Nothobranchius furzeri: one gene and its partner. The protein of the gene in region 2 purifies or fractionates together with the protein of the main gene of each other region. This does not show direct contact. Links are inferred from orthologs where the notes say so. Each region holds a gene or a part of one and is shown on either strand. Other genes may lie near its edges.

Region 1 (5,170 bases), on a different chromosome or scaffold from region 2:
CTATATGCCACTTCTTCATGGCGTTAGAGACCTCACAGTGGGACTTTATCCTGAAAAGACATCACAGATGCTTCAGTTCTTTTCCTTTTAGTTTCGACTCTCTAACCTGTTCAAAGGTCTCGAGTAGGTTTTAACAAAACAGGAGACGGTTGTCTCACCTGAGAGCGAAGCGGCACCATCCAAACGGCAGAGCGTAGTCCCGCGGCGGCTCTCCCCTCTTGTAATACGCCTCGTCTCCCCGGAGCTTGTGGCAGGACTCGCAGTAGCACAGGTTGCATTTAGCGTCCTCATTGAAGTACCCATCTTAACAAATAGCCGGTAGTAGAATCATTAGTTTCACCTGTTAGGCGGGAAGGAGGATAAAAACGCAGGTTTTGAACCGACCTGGTAAGGTAAGCAGGTCCTTGAAGCGGGAGCACAGAGCCTGGTACTCGCAGGTCTTGTTGGGGTTAGCTTCTGGAGGAGGCGTCCAACACACGCTCTCTTTGATCCCTGCACATCCAATTCACGTCATCTGAGATCTAAATCACTATAAACGCAGAGGAGTTGGTTTTTATTTACCGTCAACCATGTCCGCCTTCTCCATGTCCGCCTGACAACGAGTCTCACCGCCCTCTGCCCCCACAGCTGCCACTGTGCTGGTTACTATGGTTACCTGTCAGCAGGAAAGGACGTGTTAGCAAACTGTTTTCTTAAAAAACTCTGAATAATCACATCTCACCTGTTGTAGCCTCTGTTTAGAGACATAGGGTTTAAATCCGATAGGATTGATGAGCTAACAACTAGGCCGAGTGAGGCCCGGAAAACGGTTGAAACGGTAAAATCCTTCGTCGCGGCACTGTTGACAGGAATCTTTCCTGTTGGAGCTAAATCTGAAGGCCTCGCTGCTTACGCCTTTTCTACATTTAGACAACTAAACGTTGAGTAGCTTTTACTTTTTATTTCATCAGAATATCAAAAGTATTTTCTTTTACATATATTTTTTGGGAAAATAGGTTCTGGTCCCCCAAACCCATGCTGCTGCTCATCAGATCTTCCAGATGTGGCCCCAGAGCTGCAGGTTTCAGGACTAGCCGTTGGCCCTTTAGCTCTGCATTTCTCCAAACAGAAGCCTATCTCCACAATTGGAATTTATAAACTTTGACACTGGATGAAATGTTAATTCACCTGTTCACACTGGCCGTAGAGGTCTATGAAGGGGTAGCAGGGTGAGGGGATGTCCTGCGCGGCCACGCCCTGGTCCATGCTGTTCACGTAGAGGTGGAGACAACTGTTGGTGTCCACCAGCAGACCCAACACTGTTCCCTCGGGACAAGTGTCCAGGTTAGGACCGAAGTTCTCACATATCTGGGGGGGGGGGGAGATAAGATCATCTGTGAGGTTTTTGTCAGAGATAGGACAGTAGGTCAGATTCATGTGTTCACCTTTAGGGAGTTGTGGAAGACAGAGTCTCGCTGCAGCAGCCAGGCAGAGCGCTTAAGGCAACACGCCGTGGAGGGAAAGTTGAGTCGGTCTGGGGAGTGGCCGATCACCCCCAACGACAGGGACGACGTCCATGACGGGTTCAGACGGTCTATCTGAAACTGATGCCGGCAGAGACACCATAAAAGATTTGTTGTTAAAGTTAAAATAAAGATGAGAGCAGAATGGAAACCTGGAAGAGCTGCTGACGAGCCAGCGGCTGGGCGGTGACCAGCAGGCCCTGGTTGTAGCTCGATACTCTGGCTGCTGTCAGACTCTGGTTGGACAGTTGGATGTTTTTGCCGTGGTTTTCAAGGAATGTCATAATTGTCGGCACTGAAGAACACGACTCGCTCTCGGCCTGGAAAAACAAGAAGAGTTATCCTCCGTAATCAAACCCTGGAACTACTACTCCCCGTGGGCATGGTGCCTCACCTCTCTGACCGGGCTGCTGTCCTCCTCCCCTTCGCTGCAGCTGTCCGAGGTGAGAGACGGCGCCTTGACGCTCTCAGAGTCCTCCATCAGAGAGGAGCTGACGATGGAGACCGCTGTTATCCGTCCGTACAGGTCCAAAACTGCGTAAACATTCTGAAAAGAGACAGAAGGTGGTAAAAAGGAAAAGAAGGTCCTTGTAAGAAAAGAGGTCAGGCGTGTCAGGAAAAACATCATTCATTACTCAGTGCTTCGTGAATCTGATGCTAAAAGGAGCAGAAGGCAGCGTCTGAGAGAGTACCTTAGGCACAGCAGTAGCAGCAGGTCCCATGTCCTCTCCATCCACGAAGATGTGCATGGTGTCATCATTGCACCTTTTCACACCCACACGGTTTCCCACCTGGAAACAGGTGAACAGAATTCAGCTCTGAGGTTTTTGTCTGACCACAAGCTCTCATTACCGCTCACCGTCAGTCGCTCCAGCGAATAGCCGTAATTCTGGCGCTGCAGAGCACCGTTGCGGCGGACCTCGGAGCCACTGAGCAGCCAGGTGACCTTGGTCCGAAGCTGTGGGAGGGAAGGGGAAAGACCGGAGACAGGACAGGACGGAAGCTCCGGAGGTGCTAGCGTAGTCAGCCCGATGTGCAGCGAACCGCACCACTGCTCATCCACTTCATCGACCCTCACCTGCAGGAAGACGCGACCCGCAAAAATCAGGAGCGAAGAACAAGGGAGACATAGTCGTGAATATATGAACGCTCCGGAGATTGGAGAGAATTATTTTCAGCAAACCTCAAACAGCTCGTCTCCTCTGAGCTCCTTTGCACTGAAGGCGATGCCGTGAGCATAACCGCCCACTCTGATGGCCTGGCAGCCCTCGCCGAGCAGCACCACGTTCTTACCATGCCTACTGTGGAAGTGATGGGCCACGCCTGCAGCTGCAAACAGAGAAGGAGAAAAAAACGTCAAGAGATGGTTCCAGGAATAACTGGGATGGACACTGGTGGGTGTGCACCTGGGGAGTGGATGGGGAAGCTCTTCTCGGTGACGTTGCTGGTGCAGAGGCTGTTGTCCAGTGGTCCCGAGGAGCTGGTGATGGACACTTGGACACACTGGCCGTACAGATCGATCACAGCGTACACCTCTGAAAGAAAAGCAAACGCTGTTGTTCAGCCCAGCCGATCACCCCCACTAGTCGGGGTCCGTCGGTCGTTACCTGACGGCAGACCAGAGCAGGCGATGCCCTGATCCACGCCATTGATGTAATAGTGGAGGTCACCACTCGCCGAGCGCATCATTCCGATCCGAGATCCCGTTGTAAGGGAGTCCAGGTCGCAGCCATAGTTGTTGCGCATCGTGTTGCCGTCCTGCATGATGGCGGTGCCACTGGGGGGGGGGGGGAGAGAATCAGATCAGACTCAAACACAAGATGAGCAAAATCTCAGTGGACGTTTATTTAGAGGCGCCACCTTAACATCCACGTGTCGTAGTCGATGTCGGTCATGGTGTTAGGAAACTCCAGCTCCTCCGGCCTGATTGCGGTCACTCCTGTGCACACGGGAAGGAGGTGAGACAAAACGCCGCCGACGTAAGGTCTAAAAGGCTCCTGATGATGATGATGGAAGGCTGACCTGTGGAAGTTTGGCAACAAAACAGAAAAACATCCCACCTGCTTCTATTGAACCAGACCAGCGGTCCACCATCTTCTGGATAACTATTTCAAAGAGCTCGCCGTCCCGAAGGAACCTGAAAAATGAACACAAGCCACAGTCTGAGAGATTAGAGTGGTTTATGTTGTTCAATACACCCGTAGAAAAATAACTTGATCAACGTTTGTACAGCGTTCTTAACTTCTGTGTCTCGGAACGAAACAGAAAGTTTACAGACATCAATACCTGAGCTTCAAAACGGACCACTGGCGGAACGGTTTGGAGGAAAACCAAGAAAAATCACAGAGGTCACGTCTCCTGAAGTAATTCCATTTAAAGGGAGACCGGGCAGTTTTGGCTTGGTTTTAGCACCCCCTAGTGTCCGTTTGTAGAACCAAAACAAAAACGTATCTCCTTGCGGCGCGTTCGTCTTGTGAACACCTTAATCTAACAGCTGAAATGTCTCCCCAGCCTTGCTTAGTGTCTACAGCAGTGGTTCATCACCAAATTAAACAAATCAGCTGTGTTCATGAAGGAATGCAGGAAACGTGCTGGGAGCAGACTGCAGCGCCAGGTATGTCAGCTCCATTCTTTTCTCGTCTAACAGACCAGGGTTTGTGCAGAGAAATAACCAACTTGTGCATAAAAATCTCAGTTAAATTTGGTTTAAAATGTTGGTAAAAAGGTAGAAATGAACCGATTCAAGCACATGCGGGACCGATTCCGCTTTCTGAATTTGGAGCCACGATTAACAAAATACCTAAAAAAGTAACGATCAACATCAAAATAACGATTCTGGAAGTAAAACATCGCTGAATATCTGCTACTGTACAGGATCACTGCTCTGTTATCGATTGTTCTACCTGTTGGAGATGACGATGGCATCGTTGAACTCGCTGCGGCAGTTCTGACGCAGCGCAGTGCGCCCCCCGTTGGTGATGACGGCATTGGTGCCGTGCAGCTGGTGGAAGCGCAGGTCGCTGGTTGTGGTGGCCCCCACCACTGAGCAGGGGCTCCCTGGGGACATGGCAGTGGGGCCTTCTGAGCTGTCCTCTGGCAGAGGGGGGAGGTCCACTGAGACAAGAGAGGACAGACAGTCAGAGGGATCACAGACGTGACGTCATACGGTATCACCCCCTCTGGTCCTCACCCATGTCATCCATGATGGTGGCCTGGGCCGCCTGGCCGTAAAGGTCCACCACGGCATAGACGCTGGGCGGGACGTTCCATGCTGCCGGGCCCTGGGCCACGCCATTCACAAAGAAGTGAAGGCTGCCGTCTTCTTTCCGAACAACGCCGACGGTGTCGCCTGCCTGAGAGCAAAGGGAAAAAGAGAATTAAAACAAAACTGGTGAGTTACAGAAAGCTGAACGAACAAAAACCTGCTTACTTTGAGCCGATCCAGGTTGTGTCCATACTCGTCCAGGATGGTCGTTCCGTTGTGCATCACTCCGTTTCCTGTCATCATCCACGTCCCTGGAAAGCATCCTCCCACACATCAGACCTCCTCAGAAAGACGACAAACCAACAAAGTTCTCTGCTGTTCTCTCACCTGAGCGCAGGTTTGTCATGGTGGACGGCAGCTGAAGGTAGGCGGGGTTGTGTGTGGTGACACCAATCTCAATTGA
Region 2 (5,784 bases):
GTGATCAGTTACATAACGCTGTGTGTGCATCGTGCCAGCATCACACCAGCATCATGTCTGCACGCATGTAAATAAGAGTCACCAAAGAACATCTGTAGATCCATCATCAGGACCAAGTCCTAAATGATGAAGTCAATTAAATTGTGTTTAATTCAGTTTATTTATATGGCATCAAATTACAAGAAGAGTCGTCTCAAGGCACTTCACAAAGTAAACATTCTAAAGCGGTTCAGTTCATTAAGCCAATCAGTAAAAAGTTTCCTATATAAGGAACCTAGCAAATTGCATGGAGTCACTGACTGGTGTCAGTGACTTTACAGCAATCCTCATACTAAGCAAGTAGCGACAGTGGAAAACTCCCTTTTAACAAGAAAAACTTCCAGAGGATCCTGGCTCAGTAGGAATTGCCATCCGCCACGACTCACTGAGGATCGAGGAAACAGAGCAGACACCCCCCACACATACCAGGAAAAGTGCTCTTTATTTATTTATTTAGGACAGTGCATGTTAATGAACATAAATGTAAATGCAGCTTACATGAATGTAAACATGCCAGATTATAGCCAAAGGCTAATTTCCATCTGTTGTCCTTAGACATAAAAAGACATAATGATTCATGAAAATTCATCATTCATTCATAATCAAAACTCCATCACCAAACCTACGCCATTCTATTCACAAATAAAACATCAAAACTATACAACTCGTACATGATCACACACTTGATTTGTCCATAACCAGTTTTTAACATTTGCCTTTAAACAAATTGAAAGTCGAGCATTCTCTAACGGGTTGAGTGCCTGTTAAATAGTGACAGGCACCAAAGTAAAATGGTAAATGGCCTGTATTTGACATAGCACCTTCTAGAGTCCTGGAACCTCCCAAGGAGCTTGTTGTGGCCACCAGCCTGGCCTCTTCAGGTGCAGGAGCCAGGATCACCCAGCCTCGGTGATCAGCCAGGCACCGCCCCTCTTCCTCCTTTCTTCCAGGCTGCTGAGGAGCACAGCTGAGCTAAATCATCTGGTGACCTACACCTGGGATAAAAAGGCCGTGCCTTCAGCAGTCTGGGAGGCAGCAGTGCAGGGGCTAAGCTGTTATTCATGCCTCATTTTGGTTTCAACCCCTTCATTTTGATGAGTCTTAATTTTAATAGTTTTAACTCTGAGTGATCCAAAGGGATCTTTGTTTGATGTCAACTTGGTTGACTTGGTTTTAAGGTTAACGTTGTAGTTTACTGACTTTGGGATTTTAAAACACTCAGTGTTTTTCTAGTGTGTCAGATTTTACTATCAACTTGAAGATTTTGGAAACACTTTCTGTTCAGTAAAACTTTTAATATAAGTTTTAACCAGGTGTTTTTAATGTTGGTAATTGGTCTTTTAGTGTTAACCTTTTTGAGAGTTTTTTTTTTGTTTGGCATTTTTTAAACAATGCTCACCATCTGTTTGCACTTGTTTTTAGAACCTTTTATAACAATTAAACCCATTTTAAACCCACTATCATGTTTCTTGTGTTCCCCTTCCTTCACATTTTAACACCTCCTGTCGGGGACGTAACAGTGCTTTACAACACAGTCATGCTCACCCTGGTCTGGTCGATGAGCTACATTCTAGCCACAGCTGCCCTGGGGTACACTGACAGAGGCGAGGCTGTCGAGCGCTGGCGCTACTGGTCCATCCGACCACCATCAGCAAGCAAGGGGGGTTAAGTATCTTGCCCATGGACACAACAACAGCGACAGACTGAGTGGGGCTTGAACCTGCAACCTTCCGATTATGGGACGAGCACTTAACTCCTGTGCCAGTGTCACCCCATACAAAGAGTAAATACGTAGACACCTCATGGGATGGCGCTGCCTATTGGAGCTGCCGAAGTGGCCGGCTGCCATCTTAGTCTCCATTCGGCACACTACCAGAGGCGAGTCTGCCTCTGTCAGTGTGTCTGTCAGTGTAATTAAACAAAATAAATAAACAAATACAAATCTAAAATCCTATCAGGTAGGCTAGAAAAGTCACTATAGTAATCCCACATGATCTATTTACAATTGTACGCGGGTTGTTGTAACCGTGGGATGCACAAAAACGGGCATAGTTGCGTACTCTGCATTGCCTTCGGAGAATGAAGAGACCCATCCAAAATGGCGACGACACGGGTGGTTACGTATTCTTTTCACTCCTTTACATTTCCGGAAATAGGCCCTGAGCTGACACCAACGAAGAAGAGACTTCAAACATGGCGACTCCCATGCATAGAATAATAGCGAGAAGACAAGCGTGAGTAAAACATTTTTAAACTTAGCGTAGCAATATTATTTTAGTATATTTTGTGTCTACATTTGTTACGTTACCACGTGCGGTCTATAGCTGACCTACAGTTTTACATTCAGCCTGTAAAGAACGAACTTGGAGGGACGGGCATCCCGCGGCTCTACGAAGCGCTACGTTGTGTGAAACTGTACTCTTCTGAAGCTGTTATTTATTTTTATAATACCCCAGTTTAAGTAAAAAATAATTTTGTTTACATCGATGTTAATGTCAATATAGTTATAACCAATAGTCGGATCAAAGTATTGAGAAGAATCGGGACTTGGGCAGAGTTTTGATAATTTGTGATTATTGGTGGGGTTTCAGTTTCTTTGGTGGAACACCTGCGAGTTTCTGAGTTTAAAATGAAGTATTCATTACTAGTGTATTAATTATGAGATGGCTACATAAAGCTTCGTGTAGCTTCTCAACTATTTTCTTTGCCCAGAGGTTCACGTCTTCGATGCATCATTCATTGCTTATAGTGACACCTGCTGGTGGAGTTAAACTACGGCAGCCATCATTTTTTTCATAATTTATACTGGAATCATTTGTTCCATTCATTATTAATTTTAAGTAATCTGACAACAAATACATGTATGTGCAAATGTCTTACTTCTGTAGTTTATGTATTTTTTCCTGTTTGGAAGGTATTTATTTATTTTTATTGCTTACAGGGAGGCAAACAAACAAAATGTGCGTTGTCAGAAGTGCTTGGAGATGGGACACTGGACTTACGAGTGCACTGGGAAACGGAAATATTTGCACCGACCGTCAAGAACAACCGAAATGAAAAAGAAGCTGAAGGAGATAGAAAACAAACCTCTCAGCATCACAGGGTGAGTCATCTCTGACAGTTTGAAGGACAAGTCATTTACACCTGGACTTCATGTAGGGTTGGGCAATAAATCGAAAATGTATCGTTATTGAAATTTCTGACTCTTATCGATAAATGTTCCCATGTCATTAAATTTGATAATAAAAAAATGAAAAGATGTGTGTAGGTTGGCAAAATCCATGTCCCTTTAAGAAGCTGTGCAACCTTGAGTGACTTAAAAATTTGATTCAACGTAATACATGTGACAGCCCCATTTATGGACAACTTTTGTTTCTGCGCATACCAAGGTGAAATCCTCAATATATCGTGATATTGATTTTAGGCTAGATCGCCCAGCCTAACTGTGCATAAATAAACCCACAAAAAATGATAATTATAACTGAGAACTCAGTTTTTACAGTGAAATTAGATTTATAAATAATTCTTAAATTTTGACAGTGTTTCAAATGATCTCAAATAGAAGTTGAATTTGTTTAACTAAAATACATAAAAATACAAACAAATGATTTTATCAATAGTGACTGAACTATATATAATGTTGTGATTTTTCCACATCACAGACCTGGAGGAGAAGCTTCCAGTGAAAAGAAAACAAAAAAGAAGTAAGTAATCTGATAATTTACTAGGGATGTGTATTGGTGAAACTCTGATAATACGATACGTATCAAGATACAGGGGAGACAAATTCGATATATCACAATATATTGTGATACATTCAGCCAGATGATATTAGCATTTTTTTTTGACAGAATTTATTGTAGGGAAACTCAGTCCAGTCCAAACTGAAATGTAACATGTTCAATATAAGGTATCTTATAAAGAAGAAGAAAATATCATTTCTATAGCGCCTCTCAAGATAAAAATCACGAGGCGCTTCACAAAAACAAAAAATGTAAAAATATAAAAAATAATTTAGAAAATGGTTAAAAATATATTTAAAATGAGCAAAAAATAGACAATTGTGATTAAAAAAAATGTTAAGAAAGAGAGAGAGAGTGAATAGGAAAGAGGGAAATCAGTGCATCCTGAGGAAGGTGGAATAGAGAAAGGGATTTATATTTCAATGGTGGAAACAAAACCCATTGCACACTGCTGCTACCTAGTGGTCGGCGTTTGAATTGCACCAAAAGAAAAGAAAATACACAAATGTTTGCATGTAAATTCCATGTGGCTTTTAAAGATCGATACAATATTGCAGGAAAAAATATCACAATATATTGTCATATCGATATTTTCTTACATCCCTATAATTTACTATATTGAAATATTTTAAAGAAGTTTCATAGCTGTGGTGTGGTCATTTCTAGTCATTCATTTTTGGATGTAAAAGATTTTTTTATTCATAAAGATGATATTTTAATTCTTATGTTCATATTTCTCAACTTGTACCACTTTAAACAGAATTGTGACTTAACAGTTCCATCTAGTGGCAGTTGATGAGAAGTGAAACCATTTTCTTGGTTATTGTCTGTTTTTAGACAAGACTCTTAGTGAATTTACATTTGATTCTTGTTTCTTTTGTACTGTGATAGTAGAACAGCTTCACATTTTCCATCAGTTAAATTGTTGTTACAGATTAATTGGAAAGTCAATTAAAAAAGTAATTATAAAAAGATTTAAATGTATCTTAGCCTGTTTAACCCTAACGCCCCCCAATTGGGTGCCTCTACAGTTTCATGTCCCAAACATCTACAACTGTCCACGTTCTCCAAACACAACTAAAACCACAATCAAACAGCCCAGATGGGAAACAAGGCCATTTTAAATGGTAATAAATTAAGATACAACGATCTTTGAACTTTATTTTAGAAGAGCATCTGACCTTCTCTGGTGTCTGCTGGGAAAAAACCCTTGAACACATTTAGTTGAGGACCCTGGAATAAATAAAACAATTGACAACATTTCCTAAATGGAATTTGAACTCACAACCTCCATCCTGTCAGCACTTTCACACAGGGCAGCTCTTCTAACATACAGTTCAAGTATTATTTTATCTTAATGTATCAAAATCCAAAAATTACTTTGTTTACAATCTAAACAGTTTTGATAGTAGCTGTAGTTGTGCTCGGGGACTTGGGACATGGAACTCCAAAGGCCCCCAACTGGGAGGTGCCAGGGCCCAAAGAAAAAAGGCCTTGGGCCTAAAGGGTTAAAAACTGTTCAGTAAAAAGTACTTAAATTCAATTTTAATGTGTTTGCAATAAATGCTTTTTTTTTGTTGTTGCATCAACTGGTGTTTACATGTGTTTCAAATAAGCTATTATTGGCTAAAGAAGACACATAAATAAGGGTATTACTGCTAAATCTCCAATACATTTGTTTGAAAACATGTACTTTTGCAGAAAATCATCTCATATGATCTCAGAGACAGGACAGCTGCAAAGAACCAACATTTCAGACATTTTTTGTTATTTTACGAATGTGAAAATCTTTTTGTCACTATGTTTGTGCAAGATGACACCCACAGCTGCCTGTTTAACATTCCAGTAGATGTATCAATCAATCAATCAATCAAAGCTTTATTTATAAAGCGCCTTCCGCAACCCTGTCAGGAAGCCCAAAGCGCTGAACATGGTACAGTTGTAAGTAATTATACTGAATAAATCAACAATAAAAGAAATTCAAATTACAAAATACAAAATG

Evidence for each region. The genes of interacting proteins can lie anywhere in the genome.
Region 1: the proteins of zcchc10 (region 2) and neurl4 purify together in Homo sapiens (co-immunoprecipitation; 3 studies listed by BioGRID and IntAct, with this or other methods). This does not show direct contact. The link is inferred for Nothobranchius furzeri from reciprocal best matches to the Homo sapiens genes ZCCHC10 and NEURL4.

Annotation. Positions count from the first base shown.
Region 1 is NC_091742.1:53,445,440-53,450,609, reverse strand, and holds part of neurl4 (neuralized-like protein 4), read right to left. Parts: coding exon 5,095-5,170; intron 5,019-5,094; coding exon 4,933-5,018; intron 4,856-4,932; coding exon 4,693-4,855; intron 4,617-4,692; coding exon 4,406-4,616; intron 3,640-4,405; coding exon 3,563-3,639; intron 3,442-3,562; coding exon 3,363-3,441; intron 3,280-3,362; coding exon 3,110-3,279; intron 3,038-3,109; coding exon 2,909-3,037; intron 2,832-2,908; coding exon 2,686-2,831; intron 2,581-2,685; coding exon 2,362-2,580; intron 2,294-2,361; coding exon 2,195-2,293; intron 2,050-2,194; coding exon 1,897-2,049; intron 1,823-1,896; coding exon 1,655-1,822; intron 1,584-1,654; coding exon 1,425-1,583; intron 1,348-1,424; coding exon 1,168-1,347; intron 656-1,167; coding exon 562-655; intron 493-561; coding exon 385-492; intron 304-384; coding exon 159-303; intron 51-158; coding exon 1-50. UniProt on the Homo sapiens protein: Promotes CCP110 ubiquitination and proteasome-dependent degradation. By counteracting accumulation of CP110, maintains normal centriolar homeostasis and preventing formation of ectopic microtubular organizing centers.
Region 2 is NC_091750.1:56,825,761-56,831,544, forward strand, and holds the start of zcchc10 (zinc finger CCHC domain-containing protein 10), read left to right. Parts: upstream 1-2,147; 5' UTR 2,148-2,232; coding exon 2,233-2,273; intron 2,274-2,980; coding exon 2,981-3,142; intron 3,143-3,701; coding exon 3,702-3,743; intron 3,744-5,784.